Schizosaccharomyces pombe: one gene and its partners. Changing the gene in region 1 together with any one later gene gives a genetic interaction. Each region holds a gene or a part of one and is shown in the gene's direction. Other genes may lie near its edges. The genes, in order: nse5, dcd1 and nts1.

Evidence for each region.
Region 2: mutations in nse5 (region 1) and dcd1 impair growth when combined (synthetic growth defect), as found in Schizosaccharomyces pombe (one study listed by BioGRID).
Region 3: of nse5 (region 1) and nts1, extra expression of one rescues a mutant of the other (dosage rescue), as found in Schizosaccharomyces pombe (one study listed by BioGRID).

The regions. Positions count from the first base shown.
Region 1 is NC_003423.3:1,255,130-1,262,843, forward strand, and holds nse5 (Smc5-6 complex non-SMC subunit Nse5), read left to right. Parts: upstream 1-2,773; coding exon 2,774-3,940; 3' UTR 3,941-4,063; downstream 4,064-7,714. Other genes in the region: prf1 (RNA polymerase II-associated Paf1 complex protein), read right to left, coding at 478-1,897, 1,945-2,118, 2,169-2,257; AP-3 adaptor complex subunit Apm3, read right to left, coding at 4,142-4,958, 5,007-5,426, 5,471-5,511; protein dbl7, read right to left, coding at 5,890-6,711; reticulon Rtn1, read right to left, coding at 7,549-7,714. UniProt on the Schizosaccharomyces pombe protein: Acts in a DNA repair pathway for removal of UV-induced DNA damage that is distinct from classical nucleotide excision repair and in repair of ionizing radiation damage.
Region 2 is NC_003423.3:3,456,462-3,462,122, reverse strand, and holds dcd1 (deoxycytidylate deaminase), read left to right. Parts: upstream 1-1,803; 5' UTR 1,804-1,888; coding exon 1,889-2,208; exon of another isoform or gene 2,209-2,356; intron 2,357-2,400; coding exon 2,401-2,889; intron 2,890-2,928; coding exon 2,929-2,981; intron 2,982-3,018; coding exon 3,019-3,125; 3' UTR 3,126-3,266; coding exon of another isoform or gene 3,267-4,958; 3' UTR 4,959-5,161; downstream 5,162-5,661. Other genes in the region: protein Csi1, read right to left, coding at 1-683; histidine--tRNA (His) ligase Hrs1, read right to left, coding at 3,267-4,958; myr1 (N-myristoyltransferase 1), read right to left, coding at 5,323-5,520, 5,564-5,661.
Region 3 is NC_003421.2:929,755-938,403, reverse strand, and holds nts1 (protein Nts1), read left to right. Parts: upstream 1-3,248; 5' UTR 3,249-3,480; coding exon 3,481-3,640; exon of another isoform or gene 3,641-3,709; intron 3,710-4,119; coding exon 4,120-5,441; 3' UTR 5,442-5,667; downstream 5,668-8,649. Other genes in the region: SPOM_SPCC24B10.20 (dehydrogenase), read right to left, coding at 1-601; SPOM_SPCC24B10.18 (uncharacterized protein), read right to left, coding at 5,766-5,900, 5,954-6,009, 6,292-6,382; COPII-coated vesicle-associated protein Emp24, read right to left, coding at 7,018-7,326, 7,457-7,653, 7,720-7,813; proteasome assembly chaperone Pac4, read left to right, coding at 8,275-8,649.

The DNA.
Region 1 (7,714 bases):
GATATCCTCCATAATTTAGACATTTCAAAAAACAACCCTAGTCCAAGGGAGTAATTTATTTAATAGTACCGGTTTCATATTTAAAAGTTTCATAAAATTTAAAACTAGAAAAATGACAAAAAAATGTGAGAATGGTTTCTCAACTACAATTTTAAACCAAAAATTAAGGTGTGAAAAAACCAAAAACAAAAGGAAGATAAAGATCTAATAAGAAAAAAAGCAAAAAAATAATTATAAAAACGAAACTTCATTCAAAATCATTGTCAACATCAAGAGGAAGGCAATACGGCTGCATTAGAATCTTTCCTCTGAATTAATATTCCACTACTCTAAACCAAAGTAACGGAAACAGTAAATTTTATGTAGGAGGGATTTTCAAAAGCTAAACAAACAAGAAAAAAGCTGACAGGTTTATATAATCCTGGATGATTTTTGCAAACTAGGATAATAATAAATAAAACGCGAGAATACTGAGAATTAAATGTTGATATCAATGCCAAAATCCACAGTAGCAATAATATCATCAATTCCGTGAACAGCTTTTTCGTGAAGTTTGAAATCTTTGTCCTCCAACGTGTTCGGGGTTTGAGTCACTGCAATGCCTTCGTCAAAAATTTGGGATTCAGAAGGTAATAGCTTAGGACTCAGGTCAGGAGATGATGCCTTTTCAGAGGCAACGACGACTGATTCACTGGGGTTCAGCTTTGGGGTAGACATAATGGAGGTAGAAAGGGAAGGTGAAGGTTGAGGACTTGTTCCCGTCAGTACGGAAGTAGGTGCAGACATTGGTGTGGCAGTAGCCGCTGCTGAGAGGCGTCTTCGTTCTTCATTCATACGCTGCTCTGCCAGGCGAATTTCGGTATGGTTGCGGCGTCGATTACGTTCATTCACTTTGGCAAGTTGATCCATGGCAGAATTACTATTTTGGTTAGATCCCATGGAAAGTTCTTCCAAAGTGTTTAATTGATCGTCAATCTCCTTGACCAATTCTGCATTACCAGCAACATAAGCAGCTTGTCTCCTTTGACGAAGACGGGTCTTTTCAGCAGCGATGTTCGAAGGAACACGCGATAACTCTTTCTTCCTGTTAATAATATCAGAAACCTCCTTTTCGCTTAAAACGTATTTACTCATATCCCTGAGGTCATTCAGCTTTCGTTGTACAAAATTTTTAGAGGGCATGGAAAGCTTATCTTCCATCATTTGGTGATGCCATCGTTGGAAATCATGGTCGGAAAAAGGCTCATTTGATAAGACGTTGACATCGAACACTCTTTTCGAGCGACCATGAAAACATTCCAGTGAAACTTTAGTTAAAACACCATCAACACGATACGGCTTTCTGCTTTCTAAAATACCCTTGACTTGACATAAGCGATATACACCTTGTCCATCACGCTCACCAATTTTAACCCGAACAAAGCATCCAGTGACGGTGGACTCAAAGATAGGATGATACATGTACTCCGCGACATGTTTACGCCCAAGACGAATTGCATTTAAATCGTACAAATTGGCGGATGCATTATCTTTTGAAACTTGTTCAACTTTTTCCTCAGCATAGCTGGGAGAGTAACCTTCCTCTTCTTCGCTCTTCTCCGACTCATTCTGTTCTTCATAATCGGAAACAGGGCTCCTTTTTCTAGTTCTTTCAGAGACGCTTCTAGCTGAACGTTCCTGGCGGCGCTTTTTCAGCTCAGTAAGCTTATCACGTTTGCCAGCGGCTGCTGAAGTTAAAGGCTTGTCACGAGTAGACCTTCTAGTAGATTGCGCCATATACTGAGCATTTTGCTGATGGAGGCGAATTGCCAATTCACGCCTTTCCATCAACTTTGAAATTTCTTCTTCACGTTCGAAGAGAATACTCTCTCTCTCAATTTCCGTCATTGCCATTATCCTTTATTTGGTTAGACAACTTTATGAAAAATGTAAAAATCAACGTACTTTGCTCTGTCTGCTTCATCTTTAAACTTGCCCTCTAGACGATACGGGTTTTTGAATTTTTCTTCAAATTCGTCTTCCGACTTCTCATTTCCTTCTCCTCCAGACTCTTCCGCATAATCCTGTCCAACATTTTCATTATTGTCTTCGTCTGAACTGCTGCTCAACACATCATCTCTAAAATATGTTTTGTTAGCAAGGTCAATCCGATAAATTTGCTTTCTTACAAATCATCATGAGCCCTTTTACGGTTTGAAGCAACATCTGAGTCATCAATACCAGCTAATGCCAACAATTCATCCTGAAAGTCGGCCATCTTGGTGGAGGACAGGATCAGATTAGCTAGATACCTGACTAATAACGGTTCCAAGGACTCTCCACCAATTTCATAACAGCAGCGAAACTTTTATCTACTAGCTTTCAAAGGTACTATCTGCTAGTACATTAAAAGAATAATGTTTTTATAATTTGAAAAGTGATTTTTTTTTTAATTTTTTTTTTACGAAATAATTTTTGCAGATGTTGTCTTCCTTGGTTACAAACCTTATCGTTGAAAGCTTCCTTTTAAAATACTGCTCATTTGGGGTCCTCCTCTTTCCCTCTTTTTGAATATATTTCTTCTGTCGCGTAAAAACTTCAAACTGAGAATTCTGCATTTTGTTACAATATAAAATTCGTGAATCAAACCATTCAATAATAATCACAAGACTGTAAATAGGGCACATGTTAAATGCTCTTTTACAAAGAAAATCGTTTTAAGAAATAAGATATCTCTTCCATATCTGGCTTCTTTTACATATAAAGTAGCAAAGATTGCTTACGCCATTTCAAAATGAACTCGGCTCTAAAGGCAATAATAGAGCTTTGTATTGAAGAAGACTTGTTGCCAAAATCATTAGATGTTTTAGAATATCTTCTATCGACGACCTCTATACCAATTCCAGCTTGTTATATACGAATGTGCATAACTCTTCTAGTCCACCCAGAATATCCTACCTCTTCTAATATTCAAGAAAGCTGTAATTGGATATTACAGCAGGTGGTTGAGAACAGAAGCAAAATCAACTTTGACGCATGGTCATTTGAAAATGATCTATCGGACAACGATATGCCTAAAGAAAATTATCTGAAGATTTTCTCCAACCAATGCTTATTTACCCAAGATGTTGATTATTGGGATCTAATTGCATACATGTCTTCTCGTCCTCCTGACCTTGAACGTTGGATGTCCTTGATGGACATATGGTTAAGGATATTAGAGATCGATGCTGAGGAAAACGGATCTGCGTTGATGAAAAAATACATGGGAGAAGATTTGTGTGAACTTCAAGATGCCATCAGAATTTGCTTCTCCTGTTTCACTCTTCCCCAGCAAACAATGGAATCACCTTTTGCAACAAGTATGTCCAAAGCACCTGCTAAAACAGAAAGTCGAGGTTCAAATAGTTTTGAAGGAACATCAAGACTAGCAAACCTAGGTGCCAAACTCTTATGCCTTATATGGGCTATGCTTCCGAAGGGAAGATTTTTTGTTGTACATCTGACAGACGCTTTTCATTTTCTTAGCAAACTCGACGAACGTTTTTCAAAACTGAATGCGAAACAACAAGATCTTTTCTTTGGAAACTTAGGCGCCTCCAATCTCCGGTATTGCCTGAGCCAATATATACTTATGAAAGGAATAGGTATTGGAATTAACATACGCCATACACGTTGTGAGTTTACTAAACAGCTAACTCAACTTTTACCCACTTCCCTTCCGAAAAACAAAATCAGACAGAAGCTACATCTACGAGCATGGGTCTCATTTTTGGGTTCGGCCCTTCGTGAAAGTGATCGCAACTTTGATAAAGAGCTATTTTACACAACGTTGAAGCAGTTATACACAATGTATCAACAAACAGAATTAGTTGGTATTGATAGACCAATGGCAATACTCAAAGACATGCTTGTATTATTAGATATTTCAAAAAAATTGTCCTTGGATAAAATCGTTTAACTTAATAATTTAACTACAAATTAACAGAAGTCATTTGGCATTAATTGTGTATCCTAATATATATAGACTATATGTATCGTTTCAATGAATGAGGCTTTGTGTGGAAAATAATTATTATAATCATTAGTGATAACTAAGAAAATGAAATTTATATGAATAATATATAATAAACAAACGGGTAGATAGAAAGTAAATTAATTATTACCGAAAACGAAATGAAACATTTTGTGCAATAATTGTATGCTTGACCCCTTTATAAGATTTTTTATCTGGATGATTAAGCATCTTCAATGACTCTACTTTAAAATTATGAAGGGTTGATCCTTGAAGTTTATATTGTAAATCAAGGTGCTCAAGCTTAGAGTAGCTACTTGACTCTTCGGTTGAATTGGCATCTTTCTTTAAGGGGGCCAGGAATCCTGTCAACACTAAGGCCGGGGATGTCCAAGCTAATTTTTTTACCGACCACTCCAGAATACCTTCTTCCATATGAGTATACTTGGAAGCACGAAAAATATAATTTCCCTCGGTAACCGTAACGCTCTTTAGAGCTTGAGGAATAGTTATTAGGATTTTTAAATTTTCAACGGATTTTTTCCCGGTGTTTCGAATACGTACTTCGAACCTTCCATCCAACTTATTTTTTGCTTCAACAACAACAGGCAAAGATTTCTGGGTAGCAAAGTCTGTTTGAAAAGAAGCTAATGTAAATTTTCCGTCCGGTGGAATGAATTCAATCTGATCCGGATGTTGTTTCCATCTTTTTAAATTGACTGACTGGTGGAACCGAACATTCCCTAGTTTTGTGCCGGGTCTCAAACTCAGCAAAAGTAAAGGCATACCAGATATTTGACATTTGCATTCCATATCACTTTTAACTGTGCCAAAAGCAAGTTTTCCGTTAGGCTGGTAAACGGCTGATACGCGTTCAAGTACATGAATAAAAAATTCATTGGTTGCATATTTTGCTTTAGCTGTTCTCCAAGGAACGGTATCTCTTGCAAGAGTCGGTGTATTTCTAAATCATGCGGTTAGCACTGCAAAAACAGAAAACTAAATAACATACGTTTGTAGACCAGTAACTGCCATAAACTTATTCATAAAGCTAGGGAGTGGTACAATGTCCTGCAATGCATTTGGTTCCATACAAGTTGCATATCCATAATCAATCATTTCAGCTAATAGCTGGACAATAACGCAAACATTTTTCTCGACCTTTGAAGCATTAAACCCACCAAAAAATGTTTTAACTACATCCACAATGCGTCTCATAATATCATGAATGTAGAGAGGCTCAGTGTCGCAAGTTGTAGGAATACACAAACGCACATCTTCCTCTAACTCTTGAAATATCAAAAAATTTTTGTTATGTAATATAAATGGAGGCTCCTCATTTCGAAGTTTGTAGCGAAAAAGTTCGTTTTTTATATGTTCTAACGTTATGGGAGATGTCCTTCCTCGAGACTCCAACTGGAGTAGTAACGCCCTAGTCAACTTGATTAATAAAGTAAATAAACAGCTAACGCATACCCATTAGTGTCTACAAGATATATTGCTTCTATTGTGCTCATTCAAAAGTTTTATGAAAGGAGCGGTTGGTTGGTGATGAATACGTATGAAGGTAAATGGATTAAGAAGGTCTTCTAGTGTACAGGAAAGGGTAACCATAGATGTCCTTTCTCAATCTTTTTAAAGCCTAATTTATAAACAATTTAAGTAATTAATAGTAATTAAGCCATGCTACTGTTGACATGCTAAACCGTTTAAATGGGTTGCTAAAAGGTACGCAGGAACCTCAGGTTGAAAAATTAATTAGATTAAACAGAAAACCACCTTTCATAAATGTCGTAGATTAAGATACTTGTAAAAAATATATATATATGACAAATAAATATATCACAATGAACTTTACGCTTTGTGTAAATATAGCAAAAAGCATTATATATGAATCAGCAAGGATGTATGTGTACTTGATGCCCATTTTTGGTAAATTTACACAAAGGTAAAGTAAGAGATAGAGAGCTACTATTGTCTACATCAGTATTAGAACGTTTTAGAAGTAAAACTGTGCATTTTTCCTCATTTTTTTCAGCTTCAACTAGATATATGTCAGAGAGAAATCGATCGAGAACTTTAATGGAAGAAAGTTGCACAAGCTCAGTTTCAGATGAACGATGAACACGATTGATATATCTCTTCTCGAGATCTTTTGTGCACTGGAAAAGTGATTTTTGTTTACTAGATGCAGGGGAAGACACGCTAGAACTCAAGAATGACGGTTTAGATGGTGGAGTACCCATGTGATGAATAGAATATTTAGCCAGATGTGTTGAAATAGGCGACTTCATCTTGGCGTTTTTTATTCTCTGAGATTCTGGAGACAGGTAGCGCAATGCTCTAGGGCTTGACTGACCGATATTGGTAATTTTAGTCGGAGATGTTGGAAGCTCTACGTTGTATGTAGAGCTAGCAAATGGTTTTTGAGAGGAGCTTTGAGGATGTCGAGCAGGCTTTCTTTCATCCTCTGATGAAGAAGAAAATTCATCAATGTCTTCATCCAAACCCCGACGCTTTCTGACTAGATTGGAAGACTTGCCATTGAACGATTGATCCTCAACATCTTCAATTGCTTCCATAGACAGCGCCATTCTATGAAGTTTCTCCTTTTTCGCGGAATTAAATCCAAAAGCTTTGCTACCTGCTGAAGCTGAGGTAGCTTCATTTTGAGATGCGCTTTTTCGAGGATTGTATTTGACTTTCTTGGAACTCATGTATAATAGCGTTGCGGCATGATAAATTGACAATAAATTGAATTTCAATAATCCTAATATATGGATACAAAGGAAATTTTGAGCTTAAACGTAAAAAGCTGGCACAACATTGATATAAGTGAATGACTTGTGGTGAGAGCAGACAACGATCATGCGAGTGTAATCAGCACTTTACTGTATGATCGGCTGTATTAAATACGAAGTAGTGGAAAAAAAATAATAATTTTTGGTTAACAAATACTTTAGTCATTTGGTTAAACAAAATAGATTTTTTCGTCCACAGACCCATTTTAGTTATGGAAAATATATATATATATTTTTTTTTTCGAAAAGAGCAGCAATAAGGAATACGAGGAGGACCTACAAAACAACACGGAGTAATTACGAGATTAAATTACGAATAATAAGTACGTTGGGTATTAAACGAAGCAGAGAAAATATAATAAAATAGCATCATATTGAGCAAAGCAACAAGAACTTCAACCACACTGCAATAGTTTGCAACTCAGAAGAGAAATGAGAGATTGAGCCGAACCTGTTACATTTACAATATATCGAGATGAGAAAGACGTATTTATGAAAATAAACACTCATAGTCATAAGCAAAATAATTGAGAAAACGCATTCAATCTCCTAATTCAAGTCATAATACAACACTTTTGAAACGCAACACAACACAGCAACACATTTTCAAAGTTGAAAACAAAACCATGGTTATTACCCTTGCATTTTTTTGCAAAAGATACTATTGAAACCTTAAAATAAACGAGGAAGCGAACCAAATAAAAATCAAGCGCAACCTGACAGAAACAATCAAACAAATTATCCCGCAGAGGTTTACTTGTTAACAGTGGTGTTTATAGTCTCAGTAGCTTGCTTTTTAAGTTTATCACCAGATCTCTCAAGGGAAGCAACCAAATGCTTGATAGAGCGCTCATTGCATACATACAATCTGGGAAGGATGAAGGCAAACAAAACATTCCAAACAAAGAGAGACTTGTAG
Region 2 (5,661 bases), 2.2 Mb from region 1:
GGAGCAAAAGATGGGCTAAGACTAACTGAACGCTCACAATGAGAAATCCTTTCCTGCAGGCTTTGTAAATTTTCTTCAATACTTTTTAAACGCTCAACAAGGATGGAAAATTCAGGGTTCGTAAGCGAAGACTCATCATAACGATTATTGTGCGCTTTATTGTTGCTATCTTTCGAAATCGCTTTTAAGTTTGCTTCAAGGGAATTGAAATGAGAATCAGATAAGCTAGTAACACCTTCTAGCGATCTAGGAGCCGAATGAGATTTCGCGTCAGATTTTGGAGGTACAAATCGAAATCGCGGAGGGGGAGCGCTTGCAGGTGTTAAGTATGCCATGTCAAAAGAGTGATCTTGATTTAAATCTACCAATGGCTTAATTCGATCCTCATCTGAGATACGAATTTTAGATGCACTTAAGTGAGTAAAATTTTGTGATTGTGTACCAGCATTAGGTATTGACTCTTCATCTTTTTTTTGATCATTTAAAATATTTTTTCTTCGCTTAGGTGATAGGGAAGGCTCCTTCGATGGCCGTCGCTTTCGCTTTGAGGGTGAGTGATTCTTAACCACTGACTCACTAATTTGACCTTGTTGGCTTCGCTCCCATTCCAAATAATCGTTTTTTGTATCATTCCATAATTTCTTTAATTTTCCCAGCAGTCCAGCTGCAGGATTGAAACTCATCTCATGCCCAAATTATTTGGTGATTTAAATTCTAAATTCTTTGCAAACTGACTTCAATAATTATAGGAGTTACAAGATCGTGATTAACAATAATTTGCAACCAAAGGGTTATTAAACCTCAGGAAACTTGACAAAATTACGATCTTACCGAGCTCTACAGTACGGTCGTGAGTATTACCTAGTACACGTTAATGGCTTAATGCTTATTATGTAGTCTGTAATTAGCTTTAATGATACGTTAAATCACCAACAATCATCACTTATGTTGCTGTGAGCTCGATTATTAATTAAGTTGGTACGTGAAGTTAACCTTCTAACTTACTACTGAAGCTGCTCATAACTCAACCTCTTCCTCAGTCCAGTTGAGTTCTGTAGTGTTTTAATTTCCCGAAAACAAAAAAATTTTCCAATATCATTAAATAGGATGTTGAGAAAAAGAATATGTGCCACATATAAATATCATTGTTGAATTGCTGACTTGACAATTAATGCTAGGCCTACGATGCAATAGTAATCTAACCGTAAACATAATTTTACGAACGATTAGTATGTAATTACTGGACTTTTAGAAGAATTCTGAATATTCGCACATAAAAAATATTATTCGACAGATTCCATCGTTTCACATGAGTTTACATGAAATGCGCTCATTATCAAATTTGATGTGATGAACATTAATTAGATAAAAATGGTTTCATTGTTAGTTGAATGCGTTTGTTCCGAGTTTCTCCTTAACAATATACAGTTAATGATCTTATTGTTGTTGCTGTTGAAGTACACAGCACTTAAGTACAACTTTTGAGTGCTCTAAACTTTAGCGTGACCAGCAAAAGAGAGGTCAATACACTTAAAACCAAAAACGACTTTATTCGAATTCACTAAAAGGATTTTTTAGATTCTTGGTCCAGTACAGTGAAACGTAAAATCTGAAATATTCAAGGATTCGTGAAGATTTGGAAGCAAATAGTTTTTAATCTCATTAAATATATATTTTATTTTTTAAAAAGATTACAGATTATAGAAGCATAGTTTTACGAAATTGAAAGTTAGCATTTTCGCAACTCGTTGTTGGTATTGATAGTTAGTATCATTAGGTATGTGAGTACGTTAAAACCGATCTATCTCTAACTATTTGGGGAGATAATCAAACTGAAATACGTTTCTTAAGCTTAAGTAGCTTTGTTTGATTTATTAAGCAAATAAATATGCCAACTGTTGGTCTTACAGGGCCATTATGTAGTGGAAAAGATGCCGTTGTTGAATACCTTGAGACAAAGCATGGTTTCAATGCTATTTTTCGATTACCACAACTAAACGAGGATGGAGAATATATATATAGAACTGGCGATTTAGTCCTTGGCAGCGTTGACGATCTTATTAGCTATCTCACTCCAAGATGGCGCGAAAGATTTGTAATTAATGGAATTCATAGTCCACGTTTGTTAAGTGCATTGCTCAAACGTCCGTTCTTTTTGCTTGTATATATTGATGCCCCAATTATGCTCAGGTTCAATCGCTACAAAACGTATGTAATATTGCAATGTCAACATGTTGTTGCTAACTTTAAATTCATTGTCATTATTCTTCACGCAATGTGTTCAGTGTAAGGACCTTAATATCTTGTTAGTTTCATTCATTTCATGCTCGAAATTACACGGTTACATAAGCTCCTCATGATTAACTGAATATTGCGTGAAATAATAATGATGACATATAGTTATTCTTCTCTTGCGAATACCACACTTGAAGAATTTTGTAGTATCCAAGACGCGGCTGCATTTCAATCTGATAATGCTGGAACTCGACACCGAGCATTGGCTAATTTACTTATAAATAATGATAGCAATATTAAACTTCATCTATGGGAGAAGCTTCAAAAAGCCGATCTTTTGAATCCCAATAGATTTCGCCCATCATGGGATTCGTACTTTATGGAAATGGCAAGTCTGGCTGCGAAGCGTAGCAATTGTATGAAACGTCGCGTCGGTTGCGTACTTGTGCGAGGAAATCGTGTTATTGCGACAGGCTACAATGGAACACCTAGAGGAGCCACTAACTGTAATGAAGGCGGATGTCCACGTTGCAATTCTGCTTCTTCCTGTGGAAAAGAACTTGATACCTGTCTTTGTCTTCATGCCGAAGAAAACGCTCTTTTAGAGGCTGGCCGTGAACGCGTTGGAAACAATGCAATATTATACTGTGATACGTATGTAAATATAGACATAAAGCTACTAACAGTCGAAAGATGTCCCTGTCTTACGTGTTCTGTCAAGATTACTCAGCTTGGGATTAAAGAAGGTATGTTTCAGTTCTTTAATCTTTTACTAATGCTCAGTTGTCTATCATACGTCTTACAACATGGACTCCCATACCGCTTCTCTCCTTCAAGCCGCAGGAGTTCAATTACGACAATATATTCCTCCGGAAAACAGCATTTTCTAAGTTAATAACAGAACTTACTTTTTAGATTACCGCTCTTTTTGATTGCAGAAAATACGATTTTAATATCTTTATTTAATACTTACAATATTGATGAGATAACAATCAAATAATACAATAATTATTATTGAGCTATAGGAATATTTAATCGTATTTAAGTAACTTTTTCAAAACTGATACCATTTCCTCACGTGGCACAAGCTGACCTTCATCGCTATTTTCTTTTAAACCCATTTGTTTAATACGAACAGATCCCTTTGCAAACTCATCTTGACCCAAAATTACAGCAAAAGGTACGTCGAATTTATCGGCGGCGTCAAATTGTTGACGTGGTTTGGGTTTCACTTTGTAAAGAAATTCTGCTTTAATGCCATTTGCCCAAAGGTCTTTACAAACAGACATACGCTCTTTCAAAAAGCCGGTCCATTCTTTTCCACCTCCAAATGCCATAACGAAAACATCAACATCATTTGCACGGATATCCTCATCAGGAATTTTTGATCTAAGAATTGAAAAAATCCTCTCTAAACCAAGGCTAATGCCAACACAAGGGATTTTGGCGTTTTTCTTTGCAGCAAACATTCCAACTAAATTGTCATAACGTCCACCAGCAGCAATCGAACCAACGCCAATAGAGTCATCATTGGAACGATCTGCTTCAGGATCAGCAGATTTTTTCTTTTCCGCCGAACTCTTAATCTTTGGAGCAGAAGCCTCTGTTACTGCTTCGTAAATGATACCAGTATAATAATCGAGACCACGCGCTAGAGACATATCAAATGAAAACCTATCTAACACTCCAAAAGCTTCCAAATAATCAAATAAAAGACGCATGTCGTTAAATGCAGCAACAGCCGAGCTATTGCTTGATAGTAAACTATCGGCTTCAAGCTTATCTAAAAGAGAGCGGTCGCCTTTTAATAACACATACTCCTTAATTTTATCTGCCACCTCCTCTTTAAGTCCTTTTTCAACCACCATTTCACGTCTGACATCTTCCCAAGGGAGTTTATCTAGCTTGTCCACAGCACTGGAAATGGTACGAATTTTGTCATCCGGTACACCACAAACAGTAAAAATGCCATCCAAAATTTTTCGATGATTAAGCTTGATAGTATAATTTCCAACTTCTAATGCATCTAATGCTTCCACTAAAACCTTTAAAGCTTCAGAATCGGGAATCATAGGATCGTAGTTGCCAGCGATATCAAAATCGCATTGATAAAATTCACGCATACGGCCTTTTGTCATAGCTGGCTGATCTCTTCGATAAACCTTTGCAATATGGAATCGCTTAATACTCGTAACTTTGGGATTCATAGCTAACCAACGAGCAAATGGAACAGTCAAGTCGTATCTCAAAGAACAAAGCTCTCCACCTTGATCTTTCAAATCGTAAATTAGCTTGCTGTCTTCTCCATATTTTCCGGAAAGAATTTCTTTCAATTCGAACACTGGCGTATCGAGTGTTACACCACCATGACGCTTGAATATCTCTGTGACAGTTGAAAAAATGTGCTCACGTAAAACAACATCTTTGTCACACCAATCTTTAGTACCCTTCGGAGTTTTCAGTGTAAAAGATGTGTCTTTTTTCTTTCCTGATACTTCCGAACCCCCAAGTTTGAGGTTTTTCAGTTGAAGTAATTTAGCAACTTCTTTATCAATGTCCTCTTTAGAGGCGCCTTGACTTTTCAAAGATCGAACAAGATTTCCTTGTGAAGTTATTCTTTCATTTATATCTACTAGAGAATCAGCCATAGTTCTCAAGAAACGCCAATTTAAGAGGCTAGACGAAAATTTGGTGGTGAATAGGTTTTTGGTAAAAACAAACATGCACTAACTGAAAATGCAAATCTCAGTATTACATCCATTTAAATACATTTTACGGTGATTGAAGGACTAATGAAACCATTTGTCATGTTGATTAAATAACCAAGAAAAAAATATAGAACCTTGGATAATGAAACATTGAAAATTTTTTGGATTTTATGTTATGCAAACCAAGTGGGATAATTTCATTTGAAAATAAAAACTAGTTATTATATATTTTTTATAAATTTAAAAACCTAATATTTGTGAAATGACAAGTTCTATAAGTAAAAATTTAATATCAAAAAACCTTTTAAAATATGGACTTTTTTAAAATAGTAAAAACACTCAAAAAAATCAAAAATAATGTATTTTAATATTTTAGGATTTAAATCATTACAAAACCCATTCCACTAGGCCTCGAATAATCAACACTTTTAGAAGCATCGATTCCTCCAGGAATTTTTGGACAGTTATAATTATAGATGTAATAGTTCAAAAAACCGTCTCCTTCTCCAAATTTTAGGTCCTTCAAGAATAGATTGTTATCCAAAACCGTAACAGCATTGAATACATCAAAGTGGAACTGTTTTGAATTATTAGCAAGTAATAAAACCATATAAACTTACCTTTTTAGCCAATATAAGAGCATCATTAACTATCAATTTACAACGTTCAACGAATGCCAACTGTGATTCAGAAGATAAGTCTTTTGGACAAGAATCAG
Region 3 (8,649 bases), on another chromosome or scaffold:
TAGCATTAACAAACATGTCAGTGTTAACTACTCCAGGGTGAATAGAAACTACAACGAATCCATCTTTCTCTAACTCAAAACTAATTTCTTTCATCGTATAATTTAAGGCTGCTTTAGATTGCCCGTAAGCCGAGTATGTGTTTGGACGAACTCCTCCCATGCACGCAGCCATTGATGAAGTAAAAACAATATTCTTTAGCTTTCCCTCCTTTAACAAGTGATAAAAAGCTTGGTAAACATGAATAGGACCTAACACATTGGTTTGATAATGAGACATCCAAAGCTCGTCTGATGTTTTCAAAACAGGTTGGAAGGATTTCGATATCCCCGAATTCACCCAAAGAACATCAATACATTTTACTACCTTTTCAACCTGCATGGCAGCGTCTTTGGCACTTCGTAGAGAAGTGACATCTAACTTGATGATATGTACATTGGAATGGGTCTTGCTCCAATCTTTCAGTTCAGAGGCAGATCCAGGTCCACGAGCACTTGCAAAAACAGTTACTCCTTCCTTATTGCTTAACTCTTTGACTAGAGAAAGTCCAATGCCACGGTTTCCACCCACAATAACGTAAACTATCCCACCAGCAGCCGACATGTTTTAGCATAAAATGACTCAAAAAGATTCAAGGTGATGATTTTTTTCAACAATAATTCTTTATATCAAGGTCAGTCGTCTTGCCTAGCCTACTTGGTTGGAGGTGTAAAACAGTTGCGCTCACGCATAATGTATCAAGTCAGAAAGATCTGCAAATGCATCGTCGCACAGTTCTTAAACTATAGTCACTAAACAATAATACGTTATTATTTAATCAATCAATATGCTTTATGAATGACATTATGCTCTTTTGCCCAAATTAAGCCCTAAAGTCGTAGCTGGTATCTCTAGTCTGAGTTTGGGACAGCAGTTTTAAAGTAAAAGGCTGCTGAATTCTATCAGGTATCATTCCTCCATTTGCTACTAGATAAAGCTACTATAACTAAAGAATTGGCAATACATTTCGATAATAAACATACAAACAATGTAGCGGATTCACATTTTTATTGCTACAAATTTACCAACTGGTGCTAACTTGCGTTGTCTAACTATATATCGATAGTGAAGGTTTTTTTTCTATTTCATATAAGCAACTTAATGACAGGCTACGTTATATTTCAATTTGCAACTGACTTTATAAAGGAACCTGACAGAATGTACAGCTACTGTAACGTTTTGAAAGGTGCTTCGTAAAGTAAATATAGCGTTTTGCTTTATATATCGCTCCTTTCTTTCTACACTGTTAATCTACTTTAGTAGGTAGGAAAGGATATCAAGGGTGTAAGAAAATTTCATGGTTTTTCTGTTGTATGTTCATTTATTTTATATTTATGGAGTGTTTTGTACGCACTAGCTCTTTTAGTGTTTTATTTTTACTGCGAGAAATGTAATTTTCATTCTTCCTCTTTTATTTATATATGTGTTTTTTTTTGGTAGATTTTGTAAACATCATATAGCTTGTTAATGATCAGACTTTATTTTTTTAATATTTTCTTTTGTTAAGCAATTTCGTTTAAAAATAAACATATCCGACTTTGATGCTTCAAAAATTTAATGTAATAAAATAATATTCCTGTTTTTGAATCTGGGTTAAAATCATATCGGATACCTTATAAAATTCACTGATCATTTAAAAAAAAAAAAAAAAAAAAAAAAAACCCCCCGAAAACATACAATTTTGTTAATTTTCAAATGCATTCTTTTGAGGTCAAGCCATATTTACTTTTATCCCAAATATTAAATTTAAGTGTCATATGCAAAGTTGCAAATTCGCCGACCGTAGGGCTATCAAAACTGATGATGTTTAAAAATTGACTAATGGAACAAATTTATCTTGAGATGAAATGATGTTGTTCAAAATTAATATAATTTTTTTTTGCTGTTTCCTCTTGCTTTATACGCATTTTCCTGCACCTCTCTTTCAGAATACACATTATTCTTATTTGGTATTAAGATTCACCAATTGATAAAATAACACCTAATTGTATGCCACGGCTATCTTGCTATTATTGTAATTTCGCTTTATATTCGATTTTGACGAATGAACCCTGTCAAGTTGGAAAATGCAAAAGCAGTATTCTACCGTTACCTCTCAGTAGTAAAATGACCTTCCATCGATGAAATTCTCTAACATTCTCTTCGTATTTAAAAATGTATGGATCGTATATTCCTTGCTTATCCACGATTCATGAACAATTAAGATTTGCTGAATGGGTAACACATATTCTGCGTTACCTCGTATAGTTCATTGTTAATCAATGTTTAAACACTAAATTTCCCATCTCCCACTGTTAATTGAAAATAGGTTTTATTCAATAAATTACCATTTAAAAAGACATGTTATTTTAAGTTATATATTTTATGAACCTAAAGATTGAAGTAAAGGCCTTCGGAGCCTTTAGTTCCCCTACTATGTGCCTCTACTCGCTTCTTGGGGCTTAACTGTAATGTAGTATTGCCAATTACACAAAAAATTTATATTGTTCTTTAGCTTCTTATAATTCATTTAAATGAGAGGTAAAAAATTCGAGAAGACATTTCAGAAAACTACAGAAGTATCCATTTGTTTGAAATTAACTGTCCTAATGCAGATGAATCCTATGTAATAGAAATATTACAACCGTGGCTATAAAAGAAGTTGAGAGTTAGTTATACGTAAGAATATCTTTTAAAGATTTCAATCGACATCTCACATGATTCATCAGTATTAAACGTAAAAGTTTACATATTAGTTGTAGCACTATTCGTGATAAATGAAATAGTAAACCAAAAAACGAACGAGGAATAATCTTTTCATCACTAGAATATTAAAATTATTTTATATAATCAAAGTTAGAAAGATTCCTTTAGTTCCTTGAAATATTCTTTAATTATTATTGCAGCACTAAGGATTGCATCACTGATATGTCTCAGTAATGATTATCAGAACGTCTGGTAATAAAGCACGATCCTCTCTCTTTTTTTGTTCTGACTCTCGTCAGGATGAATTCCTTCTCAAAGTGCCGGGAGGAATTGCTTTGTATTTTTTGTACCGTACTTACATTTTATCGTATACTTTCACCTTAGCGCTTTTGGTGTCAAAACAATAGAGATGTAAATTTTAATAGAAATTAAAGCTTATTGGAATTTTTGTTTTCAAGTGTTTTAACATGTAGTGATTGTGTAAAGTATATGTTTACGTTCTAGTAATCGACTACCGTTGAAACTTGCAAACTACCAAACAGTATTGCAGACAGTGAATCAGTCGACGGAGCACTTGAATCAATTTGTTAATAATATAGAGATTAAATTCACAATTTATTGACACATGATTAACTGAATTCATTAAAATATTTGTTTTTTTGGTATATATTTCCTTTCAATACCCTCGCTATTTGTTTCTTAATAACTGAAGACAACATTGATCTACTTAATATATATGACTCAAAACTCACAGAGTAATGGTGAAATCGTGTCAAAAAAAACCGGATATTGATGAGTTCTTTTCATTTTTGCAGAGTGCATTCCATCCTCTACAGACCGAGGAACTTGATACATTCGTTCGCAACATTTTTGAATATGACGATCGAGGTCGTTTGTACAACTGCCTTTTAACTCTAGGTAAGAATGAATATTAGATATAATCAAGTTTATTTTTATCGCTTTTTCTAAAATTGTGAATTTTCAATTGATCGTCGTATGCTTGATAGCAATTTTGATGATCTTTTATCAAACATTTTGCACGCCTATAACTCTAAGGTTATATCAATTCAATTTTCTCAAAGAAACATATAAAATTTTACTCTATTCATGACTTGGCATGAGTGGTTGGATGAGACTGTGGCGTTGGTCGTTAATTATATTTTTTGTTGTTTCTGTTCGAAATTGAATGGTTGATTTCAACATTTAGCCCTTGGGTTTTTATTTCCCTAGGAAAAATGTTTGGGAGATTTAACCGTACAGTTTTCTGTAAAGCAAATGATTGTATAAAAAAATTATGATGACTGAAAATTCAAATCTACTACAATGTCACTTGAAAAATCGATTTCTTTTTTGATGTTTTATTTCTTTTTTATTAAAATTTCTAACCGTTAATGCAGTTCCTTATGAAAGACTTCCAATAGATGCAGAGGATCTTAGTAGTCGAAAAACCTATGCGCGTCCCGTACTAATCCGACAATACCGCAGTTTGCGGTTTGCCAACAAAGAAGAAAACATTTGTCGGCTAACTCCCAACTCAGCGTTCGTCCCTGTTCGAGACTCTGCAGTCGCTAGCATTTCAACCTCAAAAGTGCAGGACTTTAACTCCTATGCTACTCTCACTGAAGCACAGAAAAAAACGGCCACTCCCGTTGAGGAAAAAAACTTCTTAAATCAAATTGTCATACAATGTTTAGACTCTTTGGAAACCGACGTTGAAACAAATACCACGCATGCTACTTTACTAGCCGTTGACCCTACTTGGTTAATCCGTGTATCACAGCATACCTGTGATCGGAAAGCTGTGGCTAATCTCTGTATTCAGTATGGAAGTCAAATATTTTATGATCCATCATTTCGAAATGCTTATGAATTATGGTCCAATCCTTCAGTTCTTTTGGCTTTTTTGAAGGCCCAAAGAGTGTTGGTCGTTTCAGATATATTTACTTCGTCAACATTGAGATCAACACAAGGGACGCCAATGTCTTTTCCTAATTTAGCTTTGGAAAGCGCTGATAATGTCGAGAACGTATCAAAGCCTATTAACCCTCGAATGGAAAGGTTTTCATCAGAGGTTAAATCTTCGAGTATTCTGAAACAACAGATTGCAGCCGTTGTTGAGAAAATCAATTATGACATACGCCCTCAACGTGATCAAATCCCTGAAGAAAATATCGTACCTAGAATCTCTTACTTAACAAGTACCACTACTTCGACCAAATCATCACCGGTTCCCGAAAGCACTACAACAAACACAACTGAAGTGCTGAAAGAACTTAATGACATTCAAGAGAACAAAAGCAGAAAAAATGTTGAAAAAGCGACTGCGGCAACAGAAGAAATGCTACGTGGCCATCACAAACCGGTAGAAGGAACAACGGCTACTTCGGAAAAAGAAAGCATTAAAGAAGAAGTTGATTTAGAAGTTAACGGTGACGGGAAAGTTGAAGCGGAAGAGAGAATAGAATTGGAATCTTCCGATTCAGAGAAAGAGCTTTCAGAGCTGATTGATTTTCTTAAAAGAGAACACCCACCGGAAGATACTCCAGAAAAACGAGTAAAGATTAAAAGAATTAGAACATTACTCGACACATGGCAGCAGGAGTGGAGAATTTTAAATAAAGCCATTTCAAATGCAGAGTCAAATTCTGGGCGAGGACAGAACTCCAAAACGAAAACTACTTCTGTAAACTTATCGCGAAACAAACGAACGAGGACTTAAGAATGTTTAAAAGCATTTTTTTTGTGGAACATAATTATTAATCTTAGAATTACGAGCTTTTTATTTGGAACACTACTGAGTCTAATTATTTAAAGAAAATTATCAAACAACAATATTTGTATATAACGTTTACTCATTTCCCAACAAAATTAATTTATAAATAATAATCAAAAATGAACCGAATTCCCTGTATACTTAACCATAATAGTAATAAAATTCCAAAACCAATGCTACAATTCGATAAATGCAGTATGATCAAGTGTAGCCATTTACCTCCTTTTGAAAAGGAACAAAACAGTTACACAAAAAGAAATACCAAACGACTCAATGCTTTCCCTCCTTTAACTCCTTGGCACCAGCTTCACCTAATGCCTTAGTAATTGTCAACTTGCCCACTTGTTGAGACGCAATTCCGGCAATTAGTTTCTCATTGCGAACATTTAATGTTTTTGTAATGTTCTTTAAAGATATTAGCAAAAAGAACATATATAAAAGTAAATTTTAAAACATACCGCATTAATTGTATGGTCTTTGATAGCAGCTGCTCTTCTAGGGGCACAATAACGAGCTAAAAGTCAAGGTTAGTAATGAGTATTAATGATGAATGATAAACCATATAATATGATATCTTGTATGCTTAAGAGTAAAATGATTGAAACGTGTATCAAAAAATTTAATGAAAAATTTTACTATAATGAGTATCTAAAGTTACGAAAAGATGAAGAGTTTATAGCACCACAAAGGTTGTCCAACAACTTCAATGAGCTTAAAATATTAAAAGAAACATCCCTAAACCAAATTCCCTAGCATACAAAGATCACCGAATATTTGACAGTTGCAGCTGACATACCGCCTTTTTTAGGATTCTTGGAGTGTTTTGTAACACGTCCGCCCTTGTTGGCACTACTATTTTTCTTCTTTTTAAATTCTCCTTGTGCCATTGAGTTACGATAAATGGTAATGGTTATAGTTTGGTGTAGTAAATGAATTTTCATAGATACTTTGAAGGTAACATTAGAAGGAGGTAACAAACATCGCCATGAATACAGCAATAAGTAATACATACAAGTGGCATTACAGACTAAATAATTCGTTTTATAAGCAAATGTATAATGAGGGAATTGTTATACTGTTAATGTTACCGTCTATAAAAAAAGTGTACCTTTAGAAAGATCGGAATGCCATAAAATGTGAAAGTTAAAGTGCAGTGTTTCCCACAGTGCAGAATGATTTAAGAAATTAAGACTTTAAAATTCATTAAAAAACACGTACGTTTGCTAAATGATTGCTTCAAACATAACGAATCTTTTTTTTTAAAGAACAGGCGAGATCATAAAAGAAAACATTAACCTGCACAAGTAAAAGACAGATTAAAGATTCAGATTGAAAGGGAAAACGCCAGCAACCGACAGGAAATAAAATTTTTTAAAAAAAATTTAGTCGTCGGTGATGGCCAGCTTCAAATAGAGACCAATTATAATACTTTTTGCTGCTCAAGCAGAATCTTGAAATTACGACCGTCGTCCAGTCGCACGGAAAACTTATTGCGAACAATAAGTAACGTTATGCGGATAAACTATACAACACGCTTTACTTCGAAAAGTCGCTTTAAGTAGAAAATTTGGAATACACATACGGAAACTAGAATAACGGTTTGAAGAATACTCCACCACTTGACGCGGTCATTTGTGCTTTCAGCAGTATTGCGATGTATTCTTTCACGAGCCACAAAATACTCCTGCTCATGTTTTACCTTGGAGATGGTATCATGGAGTTGGCGGACCTTGCCGAGTAAAGGATTGTTAGCATCCAAATCTTCATCAGAGATATATATAACACCATGCACATTGAATAAAACCTCCTTTGATTCACCATCGAGTGCATCCTATTGATGTTGTTAGTTAAGATTGTACATCTAGCTGTTTCCGGCTCAACCATCAAACAATTAGACGACATGGGAAATGACGACCATAATGCCAGGCTTTGATGCCAGAAAACAAAAAGATAACACATACATTATAGAAACAATACATGTATTTCCCTGGGTTCTTAACGGTGAAAGAATATTGGGCCATAGAGTTGGGAACCTCTTGATGCATAATTTGACCCGCAGGATTGTAGATACTCATAGAAACAAGCTGATCACCACCAACGTTTGTTTGATAAGTGACAGACATTTGATCATTATTCCTCAAATTTTCATAGAAACATTCTAAGTTTGCTTCATTAGCATTGTATACTCCATGAATCTCAACACAAATACACTGAAATTACATACCTCGTTGATGCGGTTTCAATGTAATGCCATGACCGAAAACAACAGATATAAAATAAGCACATAACACGGCTTTAAATACGTTAAAAAACGCCATTTTGCAAAGTAAAGCTCTTTGCTCTTTGAAGCAGCAAGAATGAGGTCTATGGTAGAGGAAACGTACAAAGCACTAGTTGGAGGGCAACCGTGCATAAACAAAGCACAACTGTGAAATTAGGCGACGCTACGTTAAATTTGCTTAAGAAAAAATACGATGTCTTTATAAAAAAAACGTAATACGGTATCTTTCCTTATTTCTGTGGAAATTATTAAATCATTCTTGTCTTCAGAGTATAACTAGTAATTCTCCAAAACTTCGTTTATTTTGTATTTAACTTATTATTGAACATCAATTCATTTTATTTTTTTTTCTCTCCTATTAATTAGGTTTTGCATGAACTTGCCATTTGTTCGAAAACCTTTACTGTTGTATTCATAATATTTTTGCCAACATTTTAAAGCCACACTTTGCTTGTCCTCTCTTTCTTTGAATTTTTAAAAAAAAATAATTGTTTTACCATGTTTCAAGTCATCCAAAAAGAACTTGATTTTGGGAATGCAATGATACCAAAAGTATGGATACAAGTCATAAAGCTGAATCCATCCTCTTCTATCTTTGTATGGGGAAGCAATGTTTCAACATGTCCTGCAGGTGATTTAGCCCTTTCCATGCCAGGTAAATCGGATGTCGTTACTACCAAACTTACTGGTGCTGGCTCAATTGACGATCTTTCTACTCAAATGTCTCGGATCCTCTCCAAAAAATTTCAAGCTCAAGTCTACACTAGCATAAACCTTCAAGGGGACTTTCCGAATGATCCTGAGGTCCAATCTGTTTTTACACAGGTTATCCGTGCTGTCATTGAAATTATCGAAAGCTCAAAATCCTCATAG